7 linked regions of the Mus musculus genome follow. The protein of the gene in region 4 purifies or fractionates together with the protein of the main gene of each other region. This does not show direct contact. Links are inferred from orthologs where the notes say so. Each region holds a gene or a part of one and is shown on either strand. Other genes may lie near its edges. The genes, in order: Rad52, Parp1, Zup1, Rpa2, Atrip, Prpf19 and Cdc45.

Region 1 (4,288 bases), on a different chromosome or scaffold from region 4:
AGTTGGGGTCTCATTCAGACTGCCCTAGAACTCACTGTGTACCCACTCCCTGCCTTCTCAGTCCAGATCAGATATTGTCCAGTGTTCTATCAGAATAAACCAAAACTGCACAGAAGGAAGGCCTTGTCCAGAAAGAGGCCAGCCCACAGCCTTCTGGTGGCAGGTGGCAGGAACTCCTTTCCCTTCCCAGGTGACTTTGGTCGGTGTATCTCACATTTGAGGTTGTTCCTGTGGGGGAGTGCTGGGGTGGGACATGGATGGCAATCTTGCTTCATATTCAAATTGCTATCACCACAAACCCTGTCTACATACATGAGAAATGAAGTCGGCTCCGTTCTGTACTTAGATTTTGAAAATAATGAACATATCTTGTCTGTTTGGTCTTATAATTTCATCAAAGCATCCATCTATATTTTAGGTGAAACTGTCACCCAGAGCTGGTCAAGGCGGCCCATGACTTTAATTCCAGCACTTGGGAGGCAGAGGCAGAGGCAAGCAGATCTCTCAGTTCTGGGACAGCCAAAGCTACAAAAAAAAAAAAAAAAAAAAGAATGCAAGCCTGGCCTGATGGTACTCACCGTTAACCAGCACTTGGAGGCAGCCTGATCCAGTGCGAGAGAGGCCCTGTCTCTCACCAATTAATGAAAAAGTAGGGAAAGAGGAAAGGAAGCTGCCAAAGCACCCTTAATTGTAGACAGCATGCTCTGTACACGAGACCCAAAGACTCCATCAGGAAAGTCTCAGAGCTGACAGTCACTTTAATCAAGTACCAGAAGGCAAAATTAATTCACAAAAACCATTAGGCTCTGTGCAGACCAATGACAAACACAGTTGTATTCACAATTACAACTATAAACAAACGACCATGGAATAAACCCAGCCAAAGAGGTGACTTTCGGGGGTAGGGGGGTCTCTCTGTGTAGCCCTGGCTGTTCTGGAACTTACTCTGTCGACCAGGTTGGTCTCGAGCTCACGGAAATCCACCTGCCTCAGTCTCCTGAGTGCTGGGATTAAGGGTATGTACCACCACACCCAGCTAACATTGTTTTAAAAACTGTTTATGTGCATTGGTGTTTGTCTGCATATATGTGAGGGTGCTGGGTCCTCTGCAATGGAAGTTATAGACATGTGGGTGCTGGAAATTGAACTCAGGTCCTCTGAAAGAAGAGCCACTACTCCTAGCCACTGAGCCATTTCTCCAGCCTGCATTTTTTTTTAAAGATTAGAAATTTTGATTCTTTAAAAAAAAAAAAAAAAAAAAAAAAAAAACAGCCAGGTGATGGTGGCACACGCCTTTGATCCCAGCACTTGGGAGGCAGAGGCAGGCGGATTTCTGAGTTCAAGGCCAGCCTAGTCTGCAAAGTGAGTTCCAGGACAGCCAGGTCTACACAGAGAAACCCTGTCTTGAAAAAACCAAAAAAAAAAAAAAAAAAAAATTAATGTTTGTATTATATAAGTATGTGTGTTTTGCCTGCATGCTTATCTGTGCACCACAAGTACTGAAGAAGGTATCCCTTATAACTAGAGATATAGACAGTTGTAAGCCACCATGTGAGTGGTGGGAATTGAACCCAGGTCCTTGGGAAGAGCAGCAGCCAGTTTTTTAAATAAAATATAATTCACATCATTTCCTCTCTCTCTCCTCCAATCCCTCATATCCCTCTCTCAACTTCATAGCCTTTTTCTGTTTTGTTTTACACAGACAACAGAGACATACATATATGAATAAATAAATATAACCCCTAAGTCTGTTTAATGTAGCATGTACATGTACAATTTTAGGGCTGATCACTTGGTACTGGGTAATCCATTAGGGGGTTCATCTCTGGGAAAGCCATTCTCCCTTTCTGACAGTCATTAATTGCGTATAGCTCTTCATCTAAGGGCGGGGCCCTTTAAGACCCCTCCCCCAATCCAAGTTGGCATGTCAACTGGTGCTGTTAATTGTCCAGGTCTTATTAAAGAAGCAATATTGAGATGGCCATGTAGGGGAATCAGCCTAGATGACCATCAACTTAATCAACTGATGGATAATTCAAACGAGATACAAACATCGGAACTTTATTCTGCGGAACAGATCCCACCGAAACCCACACAAAGTACTGTATTTCATACAAGTGAAACAGGTTCACTGACAAAGCAGACGGGGGTCCTAGGATGACGGGAAAAGTGAGAGGGAGAGCTAACTGTGGCTTCTGGATTTATTTAGGAGTGATGAAAATGTTATGGAATTCGATGTTGCTAGGGGTTACACAACCCCCAAGCATATGAGTAACCAGAGAACTGTACACCCCCGAGGAGTGAATTTAACCGTACTAATGCACGCTTCGTTTTTCAAAGTCCAGAAAGGCTACCCTGAATGTCAAACTCCTCAAGTCCACAGTTTCTTCTCAGCCCCACCGACTCCCTCCGACTTCACCCTGTCCTAGACAGTCCTGTTAACAGTCAGCGCGCGTGTCGCACGGTGCTCCCGAGCACGCGGTCAGCAACCCCGGACCAGGCGCCTCCCTCCAGATCCAGCGCAACCGTGGGGGCTTCAGGGCTCGGCCTCCCCGGTGGAGACGCCCCCGTGCCGGGCGTGTCCAGCAGCCGCCCGAATCCGAAAGGCCCCACGCTCCCCGACCCCGCTAGAACCACCCCGGCGAGGACCGTCCTCACTCACGCGCTTCGGAACGCGGTGCACGCAGGAGCTCGGTCCGGGTGCCTGCCGGGAAGCCGGAGAGGGCCTCGCAGAAGGAATGGAGACTCTGCAAGCTCAGAGTCCTCGCCCAAAGAAAAACAGAAGGAAAGGCCGTAAGTCAAGTCAGAAGGCGCCGAGAGCCGCAAAGCAGGCTGTCGCAAATCAAGTCGCGAACTGGAAGCGGCGGAGGACTCAGCATCCTGAGCGCTCTTGGGCTGTTATCTCACCGCCCGCGGCGATCAGCCTTCCCGCAGCCGCAGCAAGCCGCTTCGGTTTCCGTAGGCGCCCTGCGAGGGTCCCTGGTGTGACCCGGCTGGGTGACGCCCGGAGCCAACCTCTCCTCGGTGTGCTTTTAAACTCTGAGACCCTGGCAGCCAGTGGGATTTCCCCTGAAATTCAACCGGAACTAACTGGATGACAGTTACACTTTAGGCATCACTCCAAGTTAAACACAGACTGATCTCAGTTTATGATGTTTTCTGCTTTACAACAGATCTACGTCTCCAATGTGTAGTTTATATACTGAGAACTTTTTGTTTTTAATGGTCAGGCCTTCAGATTGTTGCAATTTAACCAATTCATTATATGGCCACTATATCCAGGATCTTTCGTGTTTTCCTAGATGGTTGACTTAACTAATCTTCCCAGAAACACGGAGTCAGATGCAGTTAATAAATAAATCGAAAGTCCTTTAGCACATTGTAGGGTCCATACTGACAAGACCAAGATAACAGGACAATGACACTAGCTACAAGAGAAACTCAGAATTCTGTTTCTGGAATTAGCTGGTCACTCAACTTGCCCATTACTTGCACAAAAAGGAAAGACTCTTTCTCAGGGCAGTGGTGGCCACATCTTTAATCCCAGCACCCAGGAGACAGGGGCAGGCAGATGTCTTGAGTTCGAGGATGCTACACAGAGAAACTCTGTCTCGAAGAAAAGAAAAACATCATTTGAAACTGTGCTACTGGCCGATGCAAGAGTACCAAATTTCCATTCTGGTGGCACAGACCTGTAACTCAAACTACTGGGGAAGCTGAGATAGGAGAATCCCAAAATCAAGGACAGCCTGGGCTTAAAACCTGTCTAGGTAAAAAGAGGGTTGGCATTATAGCTTAGTAGTAGGACTCTTGCCTGGCATGTAGGAAGTAATGGACTCAATCCCAACGACAGGGGAGGAGAACCTGAACATCTACGGCTACAGAGATCGCTCCACAGTTTAAGAGCACGTACTATTTCAGAGAACCTGAGTTAGGTTCCCCACATCCAAATTAGGGGACTCACAACTACCTGTAACTACAGTTCAAGGGGACCCAGTGCTCTCTTCTGGCCTCTGAAGGCACCGTAAACATACGACACTCATTTGCCCAGACACACAAAACATGTATACATATAAATAAAAACAAATCTTTTTTAAAAAAATAGACTATTAATCTGTTATCCGTGCGCCTCAGAACGTGGTGCTTGCAGGAGCTTGGCCCCGGGTGCCTGCAGGAGCTTGGCCCCGGGTGCCTGCAGGGAAGCCGAAGTGGGCCTCGCAGAAGAGATGGAGACTCTGCAAGCTCAGGGGACGCAGGGAAGAGGGCCATCAGGTTTGTACTGAGCCAT
Region 2 (3,500 bases), on a different chromosome or scaffold from region 4:
TGCCTTGATCTTGGGGCCATCCCTGGGCACTGCGACATTACACAAAGAGGAGCGACTTCATTGCCATTGAGGCAGGGAGTGTGGGCCTCCTCCTTTTGGGATAATAAAAGGTCTGGGTTATACACTTTAGGAAGTCCAAGAGGTAACTTTTAGGGGGAGACTGGAGTAAGACAGAATCTCACTCAGGAACCCTGGCTGGCCTGACGTTCACTATGTAGCCCAGGCTACCCTCAAATTCATAGAAATTCTCTTGCCTCACTCAGTCTTTACTGGACTGTAAACGAGTTAATCAGGGCTAGCAAAATGGCTCAATGGGTAAAGCCACTTGCTACTGGCCTGATGACCTGAGTTTGACTCCATCATCCACATGGAGGCTTACAGCACCATCCCTAACTTGGCCCAGGTACCTGGATGCCCTTTTCTGACCTCTTCCAGCATCAGGCAAGCATGTGGTACATAAACATATACAGAGGTAAATAAAACACTCATTCACATAAAATTTGTATATATGATTGACTTACTTTGAAACCTCAACTCAGGTTACTAGACTAGGTAGACAGTGTTCTTCCTGGCCAGGCTCTACCGCCAGTGCCAGGCCCATCAGTGAGCCTTCCTTCTTCTGCATACCCTTGATGGGGCTGGGCTGGCTGTTTCTCCAAGGCTAGTATGACCAATTCCACCCTCAGGTTTACACCCCCCACACTCAGGCAAACCCCTGTACAATCAAAACAAAGCACAGAGAATCTCTTGTGCACTGTATGGCATCACCTGTCAATAGAAAAAGCTGTTGGCCTATTAGCTCAGGCAGGAATAGAAGGTGGGAGTTTCAGTGGGAGGAGAGGATGCTGGGATAGTTAGGTGCAGAAAGGGGATTAGCTGATGGAGATGGTCTGATGAACCTAAGAAGAGGTAACTAGCCATATGGCAGGACTTAGAATAAATGGGGTAATAAGATACAAAGTAGGGGAACTAGCTGAAGCTTTTGGCCTAGGCATTTATTCATAAGTAATCTAATCGCAGAATTGTTATTTTGGGAATTTGGATGAGGATGGAAAAGCCTACAATTACAATAAAGCCAGGCAATCCTCTCAGAATACATTTGCAAAGTATGAAGGAGACCACTTGTAAGTAAGACTGGATCCCTTATTGCATGGGTCCTGGTGTCACCCCCTCAGAAACCTGTTTCAAGAGACAGAAGTGACTGGAAATGCCTGGTCCCCATTATCTTTCCCAATACCCACTTGTAGATTTCCCTCACTTAAGCTCAAGCAGGTATATATGCGACCTCTTCTAGAACTGGGACTTTAAAATCTTGATTTCAATGTCTACAAAGTGCCTACTTTTTGCTGGTGTTATGTAGCATCTCATTCATTCTCACAACTATCTGCCAGGAGGTATGGCAGGGTGAGCCTCCACGCTCCTTGGGACAGCAGGCCAGGAGGGTTGAGCAGCAGGCTGCTCCTCCCAAGATGGAAAGGAGAGCGCTGGCCATACCGACACCAAGGAAAGACTTTAACTCCACTGACTGAGGCACCTACAAGCTCACTCCCTGCTTTCCACTCCCAGTGCTGGGCTCTCAATACCAACATCCTTATTACTACTCCCCATGGTAGGGCACACAGTGGGAGGCCAGAAGGTCTGTGAGCACAGGGCTCATGGAAATAGCAGACCTCTCTCTCTCTCAGTGATGAGTGTGCACTGGTCTCGGTGAGCAGGGTCGGCGGGCGGGCGTCTGTCACAGAGCCGAGGACTCACCTTGAGGGCCTTCTCCAGCTTACTACTATCCTTGTCCTTCCCTTTCTTAGATTTCTTTTTGGCCACTTCATCTGTTCCATCCACCTCGTCACCTTTTCTCTTTCTGAAAGAAATGCAGGACTTTATAAGAACCCACAAGACCGATGCTCAATGCAACCAGGTAACATGTCACTTTAGCCATTTTAGCTGCCCACCTGCCCTCTTAGGTACAAGTGCTACCTGCAGCCAGGCAGACAGGAGAGGCCACGCCCTTCAGGACCTTTTCTGCCAATAAGGAGGGGCCTGGAGTTCACCCTAGTGTCCAGGACGACCAGGACAGACCAAGGGCTCAGGTCACACTTCATGCTAAACCCCACATCTCTGGCGCAGAGTGACAGGGAATTGTGGAAAAGCCAAACACAACTGTAAGAACTGAGCCTGGAGTGAGACAGGGAGCTGCTCCCCAGATCTCCACGAGGCCTGAGTTCACCCTGGTACTTTCTAAAGCCACCTGCTAGGGACCAGCAGAACTTGTGGGACTATGGCGATAATGAGATCAGGCACAGAGCTGGGCATGTTCCACCTCTCCAGCATCACGTCATAAATAAAGACAGCCGGAGAATCCCAGCACCCTGTGCTGTGACAGTTCGAGGGCACCCTCACCCACTGGCCTGACTTGCTCACTTCACATTCCAAAGCCACCAGTGCTGCTCTATGAACCTGTGTTAGGACCACAAACAGTGCAAGAAGCTGCTTGGTGACAGTGGCATGGGTGTCGCTGATGAGCATGGTACAGTTCCACAAGGCTCAGCATGCTCATTAATAAGACTGAGACCCTTCCCATCCTAGATGCCGATTCCACATGTGGGCCCATCTGTTCTGATTCCAGGCCCTTCCCGCTGTTCATCTTTTTGTGAACAGTCATGATTCTCCCAGAGATGCAGACACAGAGACACCTCTGCTGCGTGACTAAGGCAACGTTAAAGGAACACAAATGCAGATCTTGGAAGCACAGCCATCACCAGAGCAAGGAAGCTTGGATGGCCACAAGGGTGGCCTTGTATGAGAAAGTGGCAGTCTGCTGTACTAACGCCTGGGTGCAGGAGTCGGGAGAGGTTCAGAAGCCCGGGAAGATGTCATGGTCGGCGAGCTGGTGGGTGGGTACTGGAGCAGCAGATGCCCTCTGCTCCTATAGCCTCAGAGCTCCTCTCTTTCTGATCATCATTATCAGAGGAATGGAATCCACAGGCTCCCCTAGAACTGTACATTCTAACCACATCCCACCTACCCTTCATTCTTGATGGCCGGGAGCTGCTTCTTCAGAGCTTCTTTGTCTTCTGCAGAGAGGAGGCTAAAGCCCTTGAGCTGACTGGCACTGTACTCAGGCCGGAAGCCCAGCTCGTCCCGCTTCTTGACAAAGCAAGTTGGATGGTACCAGCGGTCAATCATACCCAGCTGTGGCTTCTCTGGATCCACCATCTTCTTGGACAGGCGCATCTGGCCCTGTAGGGAAAATCATGAGGTATCTAGGGAATAACAAGGCAGGACAAGGACCAGCTAACCTAGGGCCTTGAGTCCAAACAAAGGCACATGAAGCCAGCTTGAAGCTCTCAAAACATTCTGAGTTTTACACCATCACAGACTGTGAGGTACCCTTAGGCCCCAGCACTCACACTCCATGAGACTGATACATGACCTGCTATGCTAATAAAGACCTTGCTTACACATCTTAAATGACTACCTACATACCTATACTTAGACAAGTA
Region 3 (4,008 bases), on a different chromosome or scaffold from region 4:
GGGTACTGAATGATACTCAAGAAAATGGAACATATTTGTCAGAGACTCATGAAACATGAACCAAGATAGTCCGTATCTCTATCTCCAGCTATAAAATAAGTCTCAGCAAGTCCAAAAGGCTCAGTATCAGTGTGTTTTGTTAAATAAACATCATGGAGTGCAAACTAAAATTCATTAACACCAACCCACAGTCTAGGACAATTGAGATGTTCTGGGCTAGTGGTAGTACAAATGCTCTCTAGAAACTAGAAAGTTACCAAAACTGCTCTTACTTTAGCTAAAGCATTCTATATCTGCATCAAACTCTTTATAATTTTTATATTGGAATGATAGCAAATGAAAAATACTATGAACGTAAATTGAATCTAAAAAGCACAATTGTAGCAATTGACAAGCCAACTCATTGGATACCACATATTAAACTGAGACTACCGCTTTTATAACAATTTAAATAAATTGAGTACTTTACCTTTTAATGGACTTTCTAAAAGACTGGCATGCTTTGTTTTCACATGAATTTCCATATCTTGACTACACCCCTCAATTTTTCCACAAAATGGACATTCGGGAGGACTGTATGTTGTTTCATAAATTGATCCTTGGGCCTCAGACAATCCAGGCTTCTTTTCTCTGCTCTTTTGGTACTTTCTAGATTCAGTTATGTTCTCTGTATAAAAAGCTTCATGCTTTACAGTCCTATCTTTAGGAAGGCTTTCAGATGACTCTTTTGGAAAGCTAGATGCACAAGCTGAATGAATGCCTGAAGTAACTTCCGCTGTACTCTGCAGGTTGGTGTTCTTTCGGTCTGAATGTCCATATTGCACTGCAGCTAGCTTCTCAGAGTTTTTTTCTGGTGCATTTTGTTCAAAATGAACAGTTTCGATATGAAAACATATTTCGTTGTAATTTATACCTGACAACTTGCAAAATGGACAGATAATTTCATTTTCCATGTGAACAATTAGGTGAGCTTTCATATCTGGTTCTGAGTTTACAGTTTCACCACATATGTTGCAGGAAAGCATGGCAGAGCATGGGCCTAGAATAGAAGTAAAACAAAATTGTAAATTTGAAAGTCAAAGTTGAAGAAAAGCACATTTCATAAAAATGATTTGGGACTCTTCTGTGGAGTATTTAGAGCTATATTAGCTTTGGCAAAGAAAAATTCACTGTACTTATCATTCCTTAAATAAACACACTTATTTATAATATGTCCTAAGAAAGCCTAGCTACAGGTCAAGCATTCTTAATCCAAAAATTTAAACTCCATATGCTCCAAAATCCAAACCTTCTGAGCTGACATGTCCCAGTGGATCTATGCCTGATCTCAAACCTTCTGAGCAGACAGGTCCCAAGTGGATCTATGCCTGATCACACGATGTAGGACAGTCAAAACACTGGCACACTGAAAATAGAAATACATACAGAGAAATATGTTTTAAAATACAAGCTATATATGACACAAACAAACTTTATGTTTAGTATTGTATTTCTACATATTCTAGATAAAGGATATTGTGCCTGAATGTCAAGATATCAGAGGTAATAATAAGAAAATTTATGAGTAAAACATTTCAACAAGGCATTGGTGATACACCCTTTTAATCTCAGCACTCCTGAGGCAGAGAGCAGGTGGATCTGTTAGTTGGAGGCCAGCCATAGCTGAGTTCCAAACCATTCAGGGCTGCATAGTGAGACTCCATCTCAAAAAACAATAATACAAGGCATTTCGTCCAACAGGTAGAAAAAAAAGTATATTTAATAAGTTGTCCATGTAAAATAAAGTAAAACAGAAGGCTAATGTTGATCAACATATTTACTTGCATGTAGTAGAATGAGGAGGGTAAATCCACCTTAGTTCACTTCAGAGCTTTATATGTGTCAAACTTAATACCACTGCTGTGGTTTTACATACATGGAAACCCTGGACCAGACAGGTCACTACAGTCAGATAACGATGGAAGGTAAACACCGCAGAGCCCAAAGGTAAAAGCTGTGAGCATTGTAGGAAAACAGCACTTACCGCCAAGATCTAGGAAACTGGGGTATAGACGCTGGTTTCATTAGGTTAGCTAACAGCTCAACCCTCGGAAGTTCATTTTCAAACGAGTTATGAGATTGATGGGCTAATGGGAGATGGACTACTTGTAGGGAGGTGCTAAAACAAAACAAAACCTTTTAACGCAATCACAAACCCAGACCTTCCCCTAGACTATCACCTGGCTGTCACGTATTTTAGTAATAGGAAGGAAAAACGAGGGCAACTATTCCCTTCATCTAATTTCAGCTTTACAAAATCTTTCTACATTTTCCTTTTTCTCGTTTCTCTTCAGACAGTAATAAGTTTCTGTTTCTAGAAGGAAGTTCTATCGATACCTAGTTTCGTTTCTTCCAAGGACTGGGGCACTGCAGATAAAGGACACACTACAAGTAAGGGGGGACCTTCGAAGGGCTAGCCTGGGTACGGGATGGCGAAGGTGGTAAGGCCCGAATCTGTCAAAGTTCTGAGCCAACGTCGCACCGGTGGGGCGCAGGGAACCGGACCTGCGGCCACCCGGAGCCGGCCTGCAGACCCGGACCCACGGCTAGACCGCCGCTCCTCCCCACCGCAGGAGCCAGCCACCGCCCGAAAGCGCGCCCCACACAGCCCGCCCGATCGCCAAGGACAGACCTCCCGAGACTGCCGCGCCGCGACCCAAAAGAGAGCCCAGGCCTCCAAGAGTCCTCCGCAGTCACAACAGACCTTCCTCACTGGCCAGAGAGGGTAGAGATCCCAGCATGCCCCGCTGCAGATCCGTCTGAGTTGCGGTGCATTGTGGGACTTGTGAGGGATTTTTGCAACTTTCGCTTGCACATCAGAGCATCACTGCCCCTCCCACCTTCCAGTTGCAGTTTCCACTCCAGATATGCTAAAACCGTAACTAGATTCTGAGTACATTTAAATGTCTGATTCTGCGGCAAACACCTGTTCCTGTTTACACAGTATCTGAGCTCTAAATTATGTTCTGCGGGTTAATTAAGACAAGTTCCTTTGTCAATATTACAAAGTTGCTTATCCAGTGTTAACAGTCTGTTTCTCCCTCTGGGGGATTGATCTACGAGGCAACTACGGACGTGTTTAAATATGAGGATGACATAATCTGACAAGTATAATATTTTTAAATTATTGGGTATCGTTGAACGTGATGCATGGAGGAAATACTATTTCCTTTAGTAGAATTCCTTCTTTTAGTAAAAAAAAAAAAAAATTCGAAGTCATTGTAAGAGTGAAAGTACTCTTACAGAACATTTTCAAGCTAAAAATGAGCACATTAGCAGTTAACCATTAGCTGCGAGGCCAACAACAATGAAATCATTTCTCCAGAGGTATAAAAACGTTCAGAAAACAGAACTTTGTGGAATGTCTAAACAAGGGGCAACTAAAACTCTGCTTCCAGATTTCCTCCTTCATCAGCTTCCCACTTGACTCGTCTTTTCCTCCAAGACAGTATTAGTTAACGAAAAAAGATGAACTGGCCATCTTCTGTAACCAGGTTGTTATGCCCAGTTTGCGGGAACCCCAGGAGACTGCCAGAAATTGGAAGACCAAATGTAATATACAAAGAGTTTTTATTAACCGGGACCCGGTTCGCTATCTTTCCCAATGCACAGTGACCCCTAAATCTAGGGGTTTAAGGTATATATAGGAGGATGCATAAACTGGGGCTCTCAACCCCTGGTGTTACATGATTGGGAAGAGGAAAAGAGAACCGATAGTATTTGTTCAGACAGGGAGGAGGAATTGCGCAGCTGGAACAAGACCTTTTTGACCTGGGAAGACATAACTTATCAAAGACCAGCGTGTTTTTATAACGCAGTCACAGCTGCCTGAGAATGAGTGGACTTTATCACTTCGAGAATACTAACTCCTGTCTCCTTCAAAGGTCGGAGCCATCTGTGCTTGGGAGAGTGCTTTTATGAAGGAAGGATCACAATATTCCGGCGCCAGATTGGGCTCTCTTTTGTCTG
Region 4 (3,500 bases):
AACCAACACACCAAGTCTACCCTCTTGACTTCCCTTGCATACAGTGGTACATGTGCCCACATTCATATTCACATTTTTAAGTCTAACAGGCGTTTTGCCCAGAAAGTCACTTGAATATGTTTGCCTTTTACTTATATTTTCCTCTTACTTATAATAGAACAAAAAGAGCTTGGTGGCCTTTAAGATCATTCCTCTGGAAGACATGAATGAGTTCACCGCACACATCCTGGAAGTGGTCAATTCACACATGATGCTCAGCAAGCCCAACAGCCAGGTGAGCAGCTGCAACTGACTCCTCCCTTTCTGGGAAACCAAACTTAACATTCATATTTCCGTGTCTGTGTGTGGTGTGTGAGGGATCCCCTGCAGGTAGGGCTACAAGCTGTGTGCCACCTGCAGCCAAACTCAGGAAGAGCTCAAAGAGCTCCCACTGCTGAGCCATCTTCAGCCATCACGTGGTCCTCAGCACATTTTCTCCCCGAGCTTCGCCACTGTCCTTTAGTCTAAGTGAAACACTCATGTTTCTCAGAGTTTCCAGTTGTTTCTCACCCAATACCAAGATAGCTGACCAAAAGTTTCAAAGCCAAACAGCATTTTGCGTCCAACCTGTACGCCATAAAAACATCTCAACAACAGACATCTAATGGGTGTTTGACTGGATGGCCTAATAGGATAGAGTTTGTCCTCTGTGTGGTCGCACTGTGTTAAACCTCACAGGCCGTGTGACCCTGTTATTCAGTTCAGTGGGTACAAGACTTAGCGGATGTCCTGTTCATCAGCACTGCAGAGAGGAAGGCTTCTGAGAAGGTGCAGTGGGAGTGAGTGGGAGCCAGAGAAGCCTGGAGGGGCCACTGGGGAGCAGTGGGCAGCATTGTCTGCTGCTAAGAGGTCAGATGTTGTGGTGACCAAAAGGCTGGAGCAGCCAGGGACTAGAGACGTTGGTAGAACTCAATTCAGAGGATTTGAGATAATCCAGCTAGTGGTAGGCAGAGAAGGAGTGACCTAAAAGAGGGTGAAGCATCTGTGCCTTTCTCGGTCTTATCCATAGTGGGCAAGCCCTCTGCCAGGGATCTGTACTCACAGGCAAGCCTGGGCCCTTTTCTCTCTCAACAGGGTTTCACGATAATAAATGCTCACTTGAGCGAGCCCAGGGAAGCCGCTGTAGCTGGCATGTGAAGTCGTAGTGCCAGAGCCTCCTTTCCGGGGACAGGGAATGCATGCCTCGGGGTTAGTTAACGCTCCTTACGAGGTTTCATTGTTAGAGTTTTCCTATATCAGTCGTTACTAGGGAAACTGATTAAATTGTTTGCTGCTGTTTATTAGTAAGTTAGGTGGAGTAGGGTTGATGTGGTGGCTTTTCTAATGTTCTGATCTTGTTCTTAATTCAGGCCTCTGCAGGGAGACCATCGATGAGCAACCCAGGAATGAGTGAGCCGGGGAACTTCAGCGGGAATAACTTCATGCCAGCAAATGGCCTCACTGTGGTCCAAAACCAGGTAAGCTGCCTGCTTACCCTGCAGAGCACGGGCAGTCTGATAGTTTGTTTCTTCCCAAATGATGGGAGGTTATCTTGCAGCCTGCTTCACACCAACACCCCTCCTTTTTAACTTGTGTGTGCTTGCCTGCTTGTACAGATGGATATGTGTATGTCCACAATGCCCGATACCAGTAGAGGATAGAGAGGGTGGAAACCCAGGGTCTCCTGAGCCATCTTTCCAGCTCCTCTTTGTTTATCGTAAGTAAGCTGATGCAGAGTAGTTGGTTGCTAAAGTCTTTTTACTCTGAACTGTCAGGTGCTGAATTTGATCAAGGCTTGCCCAAGACCTGAAGGCCTGAACTTCCAGGACCTCAGGAGCCAGCTCCAGCATATGCCTGTTCCCTCAATCAAGTGAGTCTTGTTGTCCGTGGCCTTGGATCTGTCCACAACCTTCTGCTGGTGGGGAGTGGAAAAGGTGAAGCCGGATCTATCATCTCAGCACTTGAAAGATAGAAGCAGGAGGATTGGGAGTTCAGAGCCAACCTGGGCTGCCTGAGACTCACTCACACAGGAGTCAGCTGCTGGGAAGAAAACAGAAAAGCACTCACAGGTGGCGCTGTTGCACCGCTTACTGATTTGTTGGGACCTGAAGGCATCAGGCAGCCCTTCTTACTCCAGACTCCTGATTCCATTGCAGTGAACTGAGATGGGTGTGTGTGTGTGTGTGTGTGTGTGTGTGTGTGTGTGTGTGTGTGTGTGTGTGTTCAAGGCCAGCCGAGTTTACATAGCGAGTTCCAGGACAGCTCTGACTACATAGAGACCAAGACCCTGTCTCAAACAAGCAAACCCATTTACTAACTATATGCCGAGATGGAGTAAATGCCCAGGCCAGTTCCCCATTTTATGCTGTGAAATGGTGGTCGATAACGCCCATCTCAAAGTCATTGTGTTGAGGTAGCTACACTGTAAATGGCTCGTACTAGACATCTTCCTGTCTCTGAGGACCTAAGGATTTGGAGGAGTCTCTTTCTGGCTTACCTTTCCCTTCCCGCCACTCTACTGCCCATAGGCAAAGCAAACGGCATCTCAGTGTGTGATTCTGGGGCCTGAATCCAGGGAAGGGAGCTGTAAGACCCCTGTGCACATCTCATGTGCGAGCTGACTGTAGCTTCAGGATCTTACGTCAACTTAGATTGGCATCTAAGTGAAGCCTTGTTTTATTTTGGAATTTGAGTCCGGGATCCAAGGCAGCCCTGGTAGCTCTGGTCTGCATGGATAACCTCAACCCTTGGGTTGTATCGACATTTCTCTACGAGAGACTTCCATGAACAAAGTGACTGAGGAATTCACAGCTAAGAGAAGTACACAAACAAGTGATGTTTGCTCATTTAGCTATGTTCAAAAGGCGCTGGTTTTAATGTGGGGATCCCCCCCCCTTTTTTTTTCCTTTCAGGCAAGCAGTGGATTTTCTGTGCAACGAGGGCCACATTTACTCTACTGTGGACGACGATCACTTTAAGTCTACAGATGCAGAGTGACTGGAGTTTCCTGGGTGCCTGGAATCTGTCCAGCTGGGCCTGTGTTCCTCTGTCGGCCCCAGCTCTGCGGGCTTTGGCCAGAGGCTTCTAGGACAGAACTTTGCTGTAGAAGGTCTCACTCAGCTGAAGTCCTTTTGGAACTTAGTGCTCTCTGTTTTGTTGCTTGTTGTTTAGAGGTTCAGAGGGAGATAGACAGTTGAGAAGGAAGTAAACCAGGACTGGATTTCTTGTAAGAAATTCCAATAAGCTAGTCAGGACTCCAGGATGGGTGGTCGGAATTGAAAGAGGAACACTGCCAAGATGTCAGGGCAGGGCTTCAGCTTGCTTGAGAGCGACTGTTCTCCAAGGCTTCGTGTTGAGGACAAGCACTGCTAGGGCCAAGGGCCAAAGAAGAACCTACCACCCTCTGCCAGTTTGCGCTGCCCTCTGGGTCTGCGGGGTTACTTTCGGAATTGCACTTTCCTTCCCTTGTCTTGCCCGCCGTG
Region 5 (4,267 bases), on a different chromosome or scaffold from region 4:
ACTTCTCGTTTATTTGGTAGAACGTAATCCCTCCTGACAATGTCCTGTTTCCAGAACCAAAGATCGTAGCTATTACAACCTGGGCAATCAGCCACGCCTGGTAGCCCACACTCACAATTCTAGCACTTTAGAGACTGAGACAGGATTAGAAGTTTGAGGCCATCTCAAAAACAAAAAACAAAAACAAAACAAACAAACAAAAACTCATGTCTATAATCCCAGCACTCAGCGGGAGGAAGGACATTCTGGAGTTCTGGGCCAGCTTTGGTTATATGTCTTGACATATAACCAAAGGGGGTGGGGGGCTGCTGGGAGACTTGAACATTCAACATTATGTTGGGCAGCTATGGGAAAACTACCAGCAGCTGAATCAAGAAACTAAGGCAGTTCTAAGTGATGCAATGCCTTCTGACCACTGTAGGCACCAGGCATACATGCATGTGATGCACATACATACATGAAGGTAAAACACACATAAAAAATAATGAGGCAGGGGTGGGGTGGGGGTGGGTTGGCAGGCCTAAGGCATTCTAAGCCTGAGCGCTCTCCTTTCCGCCCAACGCCTCAGCAAACATTGGTAGGTTCACAAACTAAGTCTGGCATTGAGCAAACGGAGTAGAAAAGTCTTGATCTTGTTGCCTTCCAATGCTAATCCGCCATTTCTGGTATCTGTTCTGCCCACCACTTCAGCTCATAAAAGCCAGTCATACACCCAAGCCCAACTCAAATCATTGCTCCTCCATGAAGTCTGTCGCAAAGAGGAGGCATCCACCTGGCATCCTTGTCGAAGATGAATTTTTCTCAGAAACATCATGCGTCTGCCTCCTAACCCATTTTTCTTGCTATTTCCCCCTCAATCTGTTGGGTAATTCAAGGACCACTCCCAGCGAGCCTTCCTTGACCTCTTGAGCTTCATTGTCTCTACGCAACCAGCGCTCAGGACATAAAGACTCTCCAAGAAATAAATGGAAGTTAACAGTTGGAGCAGTTCCGAATAGGCACGCCGTTCTCGAGACCATCCTTCCCAGCCTTTTTTTTTTTTTTTTTTTCTCAAATATACATACTTGAAACATTTGTTATCCTGGAAGATCTCTGCTTCCAGGAAGAAAAGCATTCCTTCTCCTCCCCAAGTCTGCTCTTCCCAGCCTCCTCCCTAAAAGAGTCTCTGGACATGAGAGAGGTGGGTCAGCCGCGAGGAGTGAGGTCAGGGAGAGCTGACCCCTGAACGCTGCCTGCTTCTCTAGGGCTCTGTATTCTACACAGTGCCACGGGGAACCGCCTCAGGTGTGGTCGGGCAGACGCTCCTCGATCTCGCAACCGGGATAATCCTGACAGCACTGTAGTACCCTGGCATCACCGGGGACCCCTTCGTACTGAGCCCAGACACGCAGGAGCCTGTCCCGGGTAACGGCGCGCTCTGTACACGTCACCCATCTGTGCCCGGTAGCTGGCAGCTGATTGGCCCGCAGGCTGGGGAGACGCTGGAAGGCGAGGGGAACGGCGGCGCGCGGGCGGTTGGGCCAGCTCAGGCTTTCTGTGGACAAGGCTGTGCTTGGCGTCTTCGGATGCTGCGGGTTGAAGGTAGTCATGGCCGGGACCCCCGCACCGAACAGCCACAGGAAACAGAGTGGCGGCCTGGAGCCTTTCCCCGGTCTGTCTCGATCCATTGAGAACCCTCCGAGCAAGCGGGCCCGGAGCTTCTCTGAGACCACAGTCCCGGACCCCGAAGACCCATTCGGTGAGCACGCGGAATTTACTGCGGACGACCTAGAGGAACTCGACATCCTCGCGTCACAGGCCCTGAGCCAGTGTCCCGTCGCGCCTCGGAACCTGTCCAGTGAGTGCCTGAGGGGCCTTTTCCCCCGGCGGGTGGTGCAGACCTCTGATTTGGCGGTGAGACATCCAGAATGTTAAATGGCCTCCCATTTAGATGGTATGCACCCCATTGTAACCCTTGGGCAGAAGAGCATTAGAAGGCGTCTGACAGAGGCAAGAGATGAAAGAGAGTCTTACACAAAAATGCCAGTTGCCCAAAGGTTAGGCATGGCAAACAGGCAATGGGCAAGAAATGCCAAAGCTGCTTTTCTTCTTAGAGCTTACACTCTTGGGGAATAAGTTAAGTGTCAGGAGGGTTTGATGGGCACCTTGCGAATGTACTTAGCACTTACAGCATCTGAAAAATAGGATTATCCCTGGAAATGTGGCTGGCCCTCCATCTCTCCAGCAATATTGCATGGAAAACCAGGCATTGGAAAACACTCATTGCTGACCAGCTGTCATATGCGGCAGTGGTTAGACGCAACTTTCCACGAAATGGCACAAAGCAATGCTGCCTCCCCCTTCCTTGGCCCTACATCACCCGGTACTCTACCTTACTCCATCCCTGGAGCCCCACCTCCCCCTGGAATGTATCCATTTGGTTCACCATCAGTCTTTAAAACCAGCAGATCCTATGCCTAACATGTTGTAGTAAATAGTAGTTATGGTAGAGTCACAGCCAGTGCAATCTCTGTTCAGCTATGAGCTGAGAGTCTAGAAAGTGGGTGAGGTATAAAGCGAGAGAATTCAGATATGCTATGCCATAAGGATTCTTTATGTGTTTATACCATGCTCGGAGCTGTTACCTGGGTCTTTCTCAACTTGGCTTTCAAGAGTGACTCCTTCTGCATTTTATGACAAAGGTGGATACATACTGAGCCCCGCAGTATACATGGGATTATTTTTTCCAGACAGGTTCTCGATCTCTAGCAAGGCTAGCCTTGAATTTGAGATCCCCATAGCTCTACTTCACAAGTGTTGGGATTGCAGTTCTGTGCCACCATGCTCAACCTAAGGGCAACTACTTTTTATACAGGTGCTCATAAGGTCCGCCGATTAGATGGGTTACCAAATAGTCCTATAAGGAAAAGCAGAGAAGATATTCCAGTTAAAGATAATTTTGAATTAGAAGTACTTCAGATACAATACAAAGAACTTAAAGAAAAGGTATGTGACTTTTGGGTTGTTTGTTTGTGTTTTGTTTTGCCTGTTTGGTTGTAATGCTGAGAATTGAACTCAGGACTTTACCTTCACACATGCTATACACAGACACTCTACTGTTAGGCTATCCTTCCAGCCCTAACTTATTGTATTTGCAGCTAATTCATTCATTTTGGTATTAAAAAGCATGTGTAAAATATATAAAAACTATAAAACAAACATCTAGATTTATTCCTCTGAAATGAAAGAAGGTTGGGGAAAGAATGCCTGAAATTTTATTTACCCTGTGTATATCCCTGAGCCTATATAAGTTTATATGCACTGCATGCATACAGGTGCCCATGAGGTCAGGGGTGCTGGGTCCTCTGGAATCAACACAACTGGTGTGAGCCACCTCATATGGGTAATGGGAACGGAACCTGGGTCCTCTGTAAGAGCAGTGAGTGCCCTTAGCTGCTAAGCCATCTCTCTAGCCTCTACAGCTTAGGTCTTTATCTGAGGAACATGTCATCTTAGCGGTTGATATTTGTTAGTTTTGCAGGCTCTCATACATCTTTCACCTGGCCATCTGTAGGTGCCTAAGAAAGCCAGAAATCCAACATGGGGTTTTAGTCTGTGGAGGGTATGAGCCGTAATGTTAAAGCTGAAAGAATCTGTGTGTAAGTGGTGAATGGATTCTGAAACTGTTCTTGCTGAATATCTGTTGACTGGGCGTAATTTACAGCTGAAAGCAATGGAAGAAGAAATCCTAATTAAGAATGGAGAAATTAAAATTTTGCGTGACTCTCTGCGTCAGACAGAATCCGTTCTAGAAGAACAGAAAAGATCACATTTCCTTCTTGAGCAAGAAAAGACTCAAGCACTCAGTGAAAAGGAAAAGGAATTCTCCAGAAAGGTGAGCCAGAGCATTTGTGTCACGCGCTGGGGACAGTAGTGTCACCTGTCCATCCACTGACTGACATTAGAAGGAGCAGCCAAGGCCAGGCATGCTGACATATGCCTTTAACCTCAAGAGGCAGAGGCAGGTGGATCTCTGTGAGCTCTAGGCCAGCGTAGACTACACAGTGAATTCCAGGCCAGTCAAGTGAGAAACTTTCTCTAAAAAATAAACAAAATAGAAACAATAAACAATGTTGCCTGGAAACATTCACCCATTGTTTAAGTACTCGCTGCCCTTAGTGAATAGCATGTATCTTTCTTCCAGGGTCTGCATTTGTTTTGGAAAAAGACTGAGATGAAACTCTGCTTTGCTGTGGTCCTGATTCTTGGCAGGAACAAATCACTAGCT
Region 6 (4,099 bases), on a different chromosome or scaffold from region 4:
ACACGGTCATACATGTAAGCCAAAGACCCAGACACAGAAGAGAGAGGGGAGGGGAGGGGAGAGGAGGGAGGAGGGAGGCCCCATCTTTTCAATCCCCAGGTCCTAGCCCAGAGGTGCATTCTTTTCACAGAACTCACCCACTCATCCTGCAAGGCTTTCAGAATGGCTGGGATGCTGGTGGCGGAGGGAGGCTTGGGTCGGATTGGGTGAGCAACTGCCAAGAGAGGCAGCAAAGTAGGTATGAAGAACTAGAACCCAGGGAACTCTCCCCCACCACCCCCACCCCCAGCCACCATCTTCTCCACCAGATTGGCTCCACCCCCCACCGGTGAAGGCTGAGCTGAGCTGGCCTTGGACTTGAGGCTACTGGGCAGGCACCTTTGATGTCGATGAGCTGCTCCTCTGAGAGAGGCTGGTTGTTGATAGGATCTGTGCCATTCTCTGCAATGTACTTCTCAATGAGTCGCCGCTCATACACATGATTAGAGACAGGGGACACGCACGGGTGCTCTGGCACTTCATTGGAGACTATAGAGAAAGACAGGTAGTGAGAGTGAGCACAGGAGAAAAGGAGACGTGGGCAGAGGAGATTCTTCATTGTGTCAGCCCCAACAAGACCATGTCCTCCTAGTCAGCTATCAGGAAGCAAGGTCTGTGACAGCAAGCCTGCCCGTACTTGGTCCTACAATGCTCGCCAACTACTTAGCTAAATTCTCTGGTCTGCTGATAATAAAAGTCAATAAATAATAACTGCCCAGATCCTATGTGCCAGTACTGTACAGAGTGGTCAGTAAGTCCTGCCCATCTCATTTTTGAACCGAGATGGACAGAGAAGCACACAGAGCACAACTCAAACCTGTCATCCAGTGGGAGCCCTAGACAGATCAACAGGAGAAATTCCGAAGCAACGTGACAAGTACTGATAAAATGAAAACAAGCAAACAAAGAGCTCTGCTACTACATGCCAAGCAAGATTCTATTCTAAGCGCTTGACAGAATAGTCTGTGTACCCTTGAAGATGGCCGTTACAGCTGTCACTGACCTCCAGGACAATGCAGATACTAAGCTGACACTTGATAAACATCATAACAGGGTAAATGAGTGCAAAAGTCCCGGGGCCCAGAAAAGAATATTCCAAAGTACGAAGCCTTGAGCATGCTTAACTACCAAAATAAAAAATAAAGAAATGAAGGCCCCAAAAGCAGGCTTAAAACCAAGGTCTCTCTGACCTTCTCAGACTTGTTTCTCTACCTTCCCCTAAACAGGGTCAACTGGTTCACTTTAGCAGACAAGTGGAAGCTACCTCCACATCAGACTCTTCTGAAAGCTGCTCTAAGATAGCGACTTGTCACATCACAAAACAGCTCTTATTCACCACACAATTCTATTCAGCCTCCCATAGGTTGTGAGTCACCATCCTAAGGTTCAAGCTCCTATTCTTCTCCGTGGCTTCTCTTAGAATCACCTATTTTTGCAGGACTCCCATGCATGTGTTATTAAGTATGGATTTGTGCCATATTTAAAACCCGTATCTTGTACACGGCCTTCCTGTCCTATTCTGTTGGTTTATCACACTACTCGACGACTAAAGCTTTCTGGGAGCTTTCCCTCTTCTACCAGAGGAAGGATAGCCCTGGGCACGTAAGAGTGTGGTCTCAAAGATGGAAAGAAAACAAATCGTTTGTAAATACTTTGCAAACTGCAATTTCTCTAGTATGAGATTTCCTTTTCTGCTTGTCATTTCCCTCCTCCTTTTCCTTCTTTGAACTAATGGCAACGTTCTGAGAGGGAAATAGAGAAGGCGAGGAATCTAGTAACGTGGTAAACAATATGGGAGAACACCCGCAATGCCGTAATACAACACCCCAAGACAGGACAGCATAGTGCACGGGAAAACCATGGATCCAGGCTCAAAGAGCCAAGCTCCACTGCTTAGCTTCCTCGCACACCCCTAGGTAAACCCATTCTTCAAGACTTCCGACACCCTCTGTAACTCACGGATCTTTATTTCCCTTCAGACAATTCTTGTAAGCATAAAATGAGATCACCGTTTGGAAATGCATCGTAAATCAATACAGGTTTTCTAAACATTCGCTGTTTTCATTAGTCATACTGCGCGAGGCTAGAAGCCAGACACCTGGCTTCCAGCCCTGTCTCGAAGTCACTGCGTGATCTCTGCAAATCGGAAAGTCCGATTCCTAAGCGAGGTTTCCCAAGCAATGCCCACTGCAATGCTTTCAATTTTGCAGATGGGGAAACTGAGGCCCAAACCCGCTAGAGCCCAGATCACAATTGGAGGCGGATCCTGGGCATGTCCTCGGGTTTTTTGACACCAAGAGCTGTTTTTCACTGCACCAGCTCCTCCCCCCCACTTCTGCTCAGGCCTGTCTCAGCTCTGTAAAACGACGCCGGTTTCAAAAGACCCCTGAGACAGTCATTCTTCCCAGCTACGTGAATTGCGCAGCCCTGCGCAAATGCACCCTGCACGCAGGGCCGGGAGCTCCAGGGCCCGAGCCACAGGGGCCACACACGCTCCCGCCTCCCGCCGCAGCCAGCACTCACTCGAGCAGATCAGGGACATGGCGCCGTCGTAGCGCTGCTGCCAGTCGCCTCACAGAGGGTTCCCGGTTCTCTGCAGCCTCCGCGGGCCACTTCCGGTCCCCCGCCGCTTCCGGAGCGCTCGGACGCGGGTAGACAGCTGCCCAGCGTGGCGATGCTCGCACAACTGCTTCACGTGGGGAGGTGGCCGGTGGCGCGCCTCAGCCTTCTGCAGCTAACGGAAACTGCCCTTTCCCAGCATGCAACCGAGCAGGAAAAGGCCCGCCTCGAAACACTCGGCTGTTTCCGCATTGGCTCGGCTTCTTCCGGCGAGCGCTCCAAGAGGCCTGAGGCGGGAAGGAGAGAAGAAACTACATTTCCCATGAGGCTGCGGGGACCGCCAAGGCTCTTTTTTTTTTTTTTTTTTTTAGATGGAGCTGCTGTCACCTAGGGAACACTAGTCTTTGAAATGGTCGTGTGCAAGACAGATTTTTCAGGAGCTTGTAAAAGTGCAGATTCCTAGAGTCTGCCTTAGAGAGTCTGTAGGCATGATTCGGAGACCTGTGTTCCTTGGCCGGCTTTTGAGAAACAATGTGACCCTGTAAATAAAGCACAAATGAGTAAAGAAACTAACACTGCCTAAATTCTTGCTCTGGAAATATGGGCAAGCCAATGACTTCGTTGCCTGCTACGTTTTAAATATAGTCTGTTTTGTAAACTCAAGGGAATTTAGTTCCCAGCGTCTTATGTGTACGTTTAAAAGAATGGAAATTTGATGGGTGTGTTTGCAGAAGTCTTTAAACACAGGCACTGGGCTTCAGAGGCAGGCAGATCTCGGAGTACAAGTCCAACCTGGTTATATAGTGAGCTCCAATCCAGGGCAGTCAGAGCTGTGTAGAGAGAACATGTCTCAATAAGCAACCAAACAGTAAGAGTGGAAAGTTAGCACGACTATGGTGTTTTTCTGTGGTTTTGTTTTTGTTTTTTTGAGACTGGGTTTGTGTGTGTGTGTGTGTGTGTGTGTGTGTGTGTGTGTGTGTAGCCCTGGCTGTCCTGGAACTCAGTCTGCAGATAAGGCTGGCCTCAAACTCAAAGATCTTCCTGTCTCTGCCTTTTGAGTGCTGAAATCAAAGGTGTGTGTCATTACTATCTAGCTTAACTGTGGAATGTAGAGGTGGGATCTTTAGAATAAGACATTACAAGAATCCTGGTGGAGTTCATATAGGGAAAGAAAGAGTGAACAGGCACAAATGAACCAGTTGACTTCCATGGCAATGTGACACCAGCAAGGAAGAGGCCCTAGACATTGCCCACGTCATTCTCTTTGAACCTTGTGCTTCTAGAAATTTGAGCAAGGAGAACCCTCTTTTCTTTAAAGTAGCCTACCTCAGGTGTTTTGTTATAATAACAGTTCCCTGCCTCCTGCCAACTTCTTTTGTTTTCTCTACTAAAGACCGGACCAGATCGGCTACCAAGCCTGATACCCGAGTTCAGTCCCCAAGACACCCCCCCCACACACACACACACACAAGCACACACAGTAAAATAAATAAATAGGCTA
Region 7 (4,032 bases), on a different chromosome or scaffold from region 4:
CCTAACACATCAAACACTCAGTGCTGGTTATGTAAATGAACTTAGACAGGGACTTACTGTGACACTCAGGATAAAAATCTAATAATCACTTCTTGTTTTTAACAAACAAACAAATGGCACGGAGTCAACACTATATACAGGAGTGATGAGACATCACTGCAGCCGGATGGACTTGACTTCCAACCTCTGAGCCTCACTTTCCTGAGTACCACCTCTCTAAGTTTTAGTTCTACCGGTAAATATAATAACTACGTACCTATGTTCCATGGGGAATGCAGGAATTAAATAAGTATACGTTGATAGAAAAAAGGCGCACTACATATTACCTATTGTCGTTATCACAACGTGATGAACACAACGTGACATACAGCCTAAGACATGATTTCTACTAAATAAAAGGTCAGGGAACTTTGGCTGAGCTTAATGTCCTTCGTTTTCTCCTCCCTCGCGCCACTCCCCCAAGAAATCTCCAGTTAACTCCGAGTTCATGGAAACTTGTTGCGTGTCGAGCACTTATGAGAACTATCGACATAAAGTAGCAGGTTCCTTTTTACTCTCGGGGCTGCTGTCCCGCCGAAAGGCATTCGAGTCATGACTCGGACAAGCTAAGAAGAAAAGAGGTGGCTCGTAATTATGGGTCCCACTTGGGACAGAAGCTCTCGGGACAGTGTCGGGGCCCGACGCAGGCCCGGGTGACTCGGCACCTCCGCCACCAGGTCCAGGCCCTCCCTGCCAGCTCCAGGGGCAACTCTGGCATCATCCGGTTCGCGATCCCCGGTCAACTCACCATGACTGACAGCGTTTGGTGATGCCGCTTCTTTTCCTGAACCTTACAATAAAAACCCACAGCTCCCTCTTTGCAGTCCAGGCCACTGCTCTGAAACCCAGAAACCGCGAGAGGCTCGCCGGAAGTGACGGAACACCGCAGGGGATGGGGTACGGAGGCCTGAAGTCAGCGGCGGAAAAACAGAAAGTCATGGGAAGGCCTGAGGTTTGAATATTACTTAAAGTAAACATTAAAACACTTGATAATTGATTTCACAGGATAGCGACTGTTTATAATGTTTAGATAGTACTCTCTTCCAAACAACTTGATAGGAGCCGTTCTCCTTACGGACTACAATACCCAGAATGCAGCTAGAGTTTCCGGCGTTGATCCCGGCCATCATGGATTCGGGCGGAAGTAATCTATAGCTCACTCTAATTCGACGAACCGTGTATTGGAAACTTATTGGAAACACATTCAAATAATGTGTGACTGAATTTACTTTATGTCTAAGAGTATATTGTTTTCTAAGTATGCCAGGGTCAGATAATAGACCTTCCTTCCCGAAGTAAAGATGTCTGCCAAACATAGGTGGTTTTGGGTGACTGGACGTTAGCGTCAACACCGGCAACAAGGTTCGCAGCCTGAGGAAAGATGTTTCATTTTTTGAGGGACGGGCGGGTCTTATCCAGCTGCGAATAGCAGAGCATTATTGGCTGTCCCCAGTAGGAACCAATCAGAAAGGAGGAAAGGCTAAGAATTATTGGCTGCTGGCGTGGACCAATCAGAAGAGCTGTGATTTGGCGGGAGTCTTGACGACCTCCGGGGCTGTCCGTGTCTCAGCGCCAGTTCTAGGTATCCGCCGCTGTGGCTATGTTCGTGACCGATTTCCGCAAGGAGTTCTACGAGACGGTCCACAACCAGGTGACTCCCATTCCACGATCCTGATCCAAACCTTATCTGGGGGCTGGGGAGAAGAGGGCGAGTGTCCGTGGATGGGCCGGGAGGTCAGAGAGTTGCCACAGAGTTTAGCGTCCCTGTGTTCAACTCATCTGTCCACGTTTGCTTCTACAGAGGGTCCTTCTCTTTGTGGCCTCGGACGTGGATGCCTTGTGTGCTTGCAAGATCCTCCAGGTGAGCTTTGAATACCTTAGGAAGGTAGGACAGGAGGGAGAGGTGACAGATCAGGGTTGGCCCCAGCAGGGGGTAGGTCACAGAAGGGGAGGGACCAGAAGGAGCAGGCAGGAGGTGAGGAACCCAAAATATCCTCTCTGACCTATACTGGAGCTAGAGAGAAGTATAGTGCAAACAGTGAGACAAGTACGTAGTGTTTTATACAGTAACCCAAGTGAAAATGGTTTCACTTCTGAAATCTTTGAATTTGTAAATGACCTCTCAAAGATGGAATTTGAGAGAGGAGATGTGACAGTGGGGAGTGGTATAATAGGGAGTGCAGGAAATACAGGAGCCCCGAGTCTATTAGAGAAGATTGTTAGTTTGGGCTCTGACCATAGTGTGGTTTGTTTTTTTGTTTTTGTTTTTTCAAGACAGGGTTTCTCTGTGTAGCCCTGGCTGTCCTGGAACTCACTTTATAGACCAGGCTGGCCTCGAACTCAAATCCATCTCCCTCTGCCTTCCGAGTGCTGGGATTAAAGGCGTGCGTGCGCCACCACACCCGGCTCATAGTGTGGTTTTTACAATGTGCTGGGGTTAGGAATTTTTCAGAACCCCTGTAATTAAAATTAGGGTATTTTTTTTCTCTTAATGTTTTACTTTGGCACACTGTACAGATTCAGATTGAATTCTTGCTCACAGCCTTGCCACGTAGCTTCTCCTATTGACCTTTTACCAAACAGCATATCACATAGATCTTTGTCTCAACTCAACTAGTCTGCTTCTGGTGATTGCAGGTAAGTTATCTTTAATGAGGGTTTCTGACCACATGCTCTCTCTCCAGGCCCTGTTTCAGTGTGACCACGTCCAGTATACGCTGGTTCCGGTTTCTGGGTGGCAAGAACTTGAAACTGCATATCTTGAACATAAAGAGCAGGTATGAACTAATGAATTGGAGAATAATTAGGCCACTCTACTCAGTGGCAGGTTCTTAATACTTAGCATTTGTCCAGTTCTGAAGTAGGAGAAGGGTGTTTTTGAAGTATCAGTTTTATTAGGCTTAAAGTTATGGTGGCGGAATCAACATTTGCCAAGGAACCACCAATTTAAGGTAGGTTTGAACTACATCTAGCAAGACTGAGGCCAGCCTGGGCTACACGACAAGATCCTGTCTCAAAAATAAAAACAGTTTAGTTGTGGGCAGCACCTACTCTGACCTCACTTGTTGTTTCCATTTATTTATTTATTTTGTATCCCATATCAGCCTCCTTCCTCCTAGTTACCCCCCCCCACAGTACCTCCTCCTATTCCCTTTTCTGAGAAGGAGAACCACCCCCCCTTACAGGGTGTTACCCCCCCCACCCCCACCCTCCCAGCTCATCAAGTCACTGCAGGACCTCTCCCACTGAGGCCAGACAAAACAGCCCAGTTAGGGGAATGGAATCCACATAAAGGCAACAGAGTCAGAGCAGCCCCCTCTTGAGTTGTTGGGGATCCACGTGAAGATGAAGCTGCACTTGCTACATATGTGTGCAGGGGGAGTGGGGGGCAGCAGGCTAGATCCAGCTCATGCTTGCTCTTGGGGAGGGGGTTCAGTCCTAACCTCACTTATTTCATTAGGATACACTACTGCTCTATGTTATCTCTAGAAAATGCATTCCAGTTATCAAACACGTTTTCACTTTGGAATTAAACGGTAGAACCAAGACTCCTTACCTCTGCCTGGGACCAGATGAGAATGGGTTATTGAAGGCCCTATAGGGAATGGGTAGGGCATGTCAAAATGCATTTGGAGTCCCTGGCTGCTTCTAGGATGACTTGGAAGAGATTCATTTATAATTTGAAGTACTTATATCAGTCGAGTTTTTTACCTCCAGTATTTTGAGACAAGATCTTATTTGCTAGCCGAGGACAATCCTCCTTCCTTGGCCTTCAAAGTGTTGTATTACAGGTGTGAGCCCATAGGCAGGCAATTTGGTGTTACTAAGGAAAGGTTTTACCTATAGTGATTGTTTGATAAAGGATCTAATATTGAGGAGGCCACGTGAGGCTGCCCAAGATTTACTGCAAGCCTAACCCACACAGTGCTGGTGATGTGGTAAGCTGTAGGGGACATTGCAGCAACATTTTGGCATTGAGCAACAGCCCGCGAG

Evidence for each region.
Region 1: the proteins of Rpa2 (region 4) and Rad52 purify together in Homo sapiens (affinity purification with western blotting; 3 studies listed by BioGRID and IntAct, with this or other methods). This does not show direct contact. The link is inferred for Mus musculus from reciprocal best matches to the Homo sapiens genes RPA2 and RAD52.
Region 2: the proteins of Rpa2 (region 4) and Parp1 purify together in Homo sapiens (affinity purification with mass spectrometry; 3 studies listed by BioGRID and IntAct, counting the BioPlex papers as one, with this or other methods). This does not show direct contact. The link is inferred for Mus musculus from reciprocal best matches to the Homo sapiens genes RPA2 and PARP1.
Region 3: the proteins of Rpa2 (region 4) and Zup1 purify together in Homo sapiens (affinity purification with western blotting; 3 studies listed by BioGRID, with this or other methods). This does not show direct contact. The link is inferred for Mus musculus from reciprocal best matches to the Homo sapiens genes RPA2 and ZUP1.
Region 5: the proteins of Rpa2 (region 4) and Atrip purify together in Homo sapiens (affinity purification with western blotting; 5 studies listed by BioGRID, with this or other methods). This does not show direct contact. The link is inferred for Mus musculus from reciprocal best matches to the Homo sapiens genes RPA2 and ATRIP.
Region 6: the proteins of Rpa2 (region 4) and Prpf19 purify together in Homo sapiens (affinity purification with western blotting; 4 studies listed by BioGRID, with this or other methods). This does not show direct contact. The link is inferred for Mus musculus from reciprocal best matches to the Homo sapiens genes RPA2 and PRPF19.
Region 7: the proteins of Rpa2 (region 4) and Cdc45 purify together in Homo sapiens (affinity purification with western blotting; 3 studies listed by BioGRID and IntAct, with this or other methods). This does not show direct contact. The link is inferred for Mus musculus from reciprocal best matches to the Homo sapiens genes RPA2 and CDC45.

What each region holds. Positions count from the first base shown.
Region 1 is NC_000072.6:119,901,210-119,905,497, reverse strand, and holds the start of Rad52 (DNA repair protein RAD52 homolog), read right to left. Parts: upstream 2,801-4,288; 5' UTR 2,663-2,800; intron 1,177-2,662; exon of another isoform or gene 1-1,176. UniProt on the Homo sapiens protein: Involved in double-stranded break repair. Plays a central role in genetic recombination and DNA repair by promoting the annealing of complementary single-stranded DNA and by stimulation of the RAD51 recombinase.
Region 2 is NC_000067.6:180,578,891-180,582,390, reverse strand, and holds part of Parp1 (poly [ADP-ribose] polymerase 1), read right to left. Parts: intron 3,238-3,500; coding exon 3,023-3,237; intron 1,859-3,022; coding exon 1,756-1,858; intron 1-1,755. UniProt on the Homo sapiens protein: Poly-ADP-ribosyltransferase that mediates poly-ADP-ribosylation of proteins and plays a key role in DNA repair.
Region 3 is NC_000076.6:33,948,460-33,952,467, forward strand, and holds the start of Zup1 (zinc finger-containing ubiquitin peptidase 1), read right to left. Parts: upstream 2,801-4,008; 5' UTR 2,672-2,800; intron 2,159-2,671; exon of another isoform or gene 2,024-2,158; intron 1,406-2,023; 5' UTR 1,289-1,405; intron 1,040-1,288; 5' UTR 1,026-1,039; coding exon 470-1,025; intron 1-469. UniProt on the Homo sapiens protein: Deubiquitinase with endodeubiquitinase activity that specifically interacts with and cleaves 'Lys-63'-linked long polyubiquitin chains. Shows only weak activity against 'Lys-11' and 'Lys-48'-linked chains.
Region 4 is NC_000070.6:132,774,860-132,778,359, forward strand, and holds part of Rpa2 (replication protein A 32 kDa subunit), read left to right. Parts: intron 1-157; coding exon 158-274; intron 275-1,388; coding exon 1,389-1,496; intron 1,497-1,793; coding exon 1,794-1,888; intron 1,889-2,930; coding exon 2,931-3,015; 3' UTR 3,016-3,500. UniProt on the Homo sapiens protein: As part of the heterotrimeric replication protein A complex (RPA/RP-A), binds and stabilizes single-stranded DNA intermediates that form during DNA replication or upon DNA stress.
Region 5 is NC_000075.6:109,071,325-109,075,591, reverse strand, and holds the start of Atrip (ATR-interacting protein), read left to right. Parts: upstream 1-1,467; 5' UTR 1,468-1,587; coding exon 1,588-1,837; exon of another isoform or gene 1,838-1,933; intron 1,934-2,854; coding exon 2,855-2,985; intron 2,986-3,703; coding exon 3,704-3,874; intron 3,875-4,267. UniProt on the Homo sapiens protein: Required for checkpoint signaling after DNA damage. Required for ATR expression, possibly by stabilizing the protein.
Region 6 is NC_000085.6:10,893,932-10,898,030, reverse strand, and holds the start of Prpf19 (pre-mRNA-processing factor 19), read right to left. Parts: upstream 2,801-4,099; 5' UTR 2,582-2,800; coding exon 2,563-2,581; intron 529-2,562; coding exon 379-528; intron 215-378; coding exon 138-214; intron 1-137. UniProt on the Homo sapiens protein: Ubiquitin-protein ligase which is a core component of several complexes mainly involved pre-mRNA splicing and DNA repair. Required for pre-mRNA splicing as component of the spliceosome.
Region 7 is NC_000082.6:18,809,173-18,813,204, reverse strand, and holds the start of Cdc45 (cell division control protein 45 homolog), read left to right. Parts: upstream 1-1,232; 5' UTR 1,233-1,639; coding exon 1,640-1,690; intron 1,691-1,840; coding exon 1,841-1,900; intron 1,901-2,723; coding exon 2,724-2,816; intron 2,817-4,032. Other genes in the region: Ufd1 (ubiquitin recognition factor in ER-associated degradation protein 1), read right to left, coding at 788-790. UniProt on the Homo sapiens protein: Required for initiation of chromosomal DNA replication. Core component of CDC45-MCM-GINS (CMG) helicase, the molecular machine that unwinds template DNA during replication, and around which the replisome is built.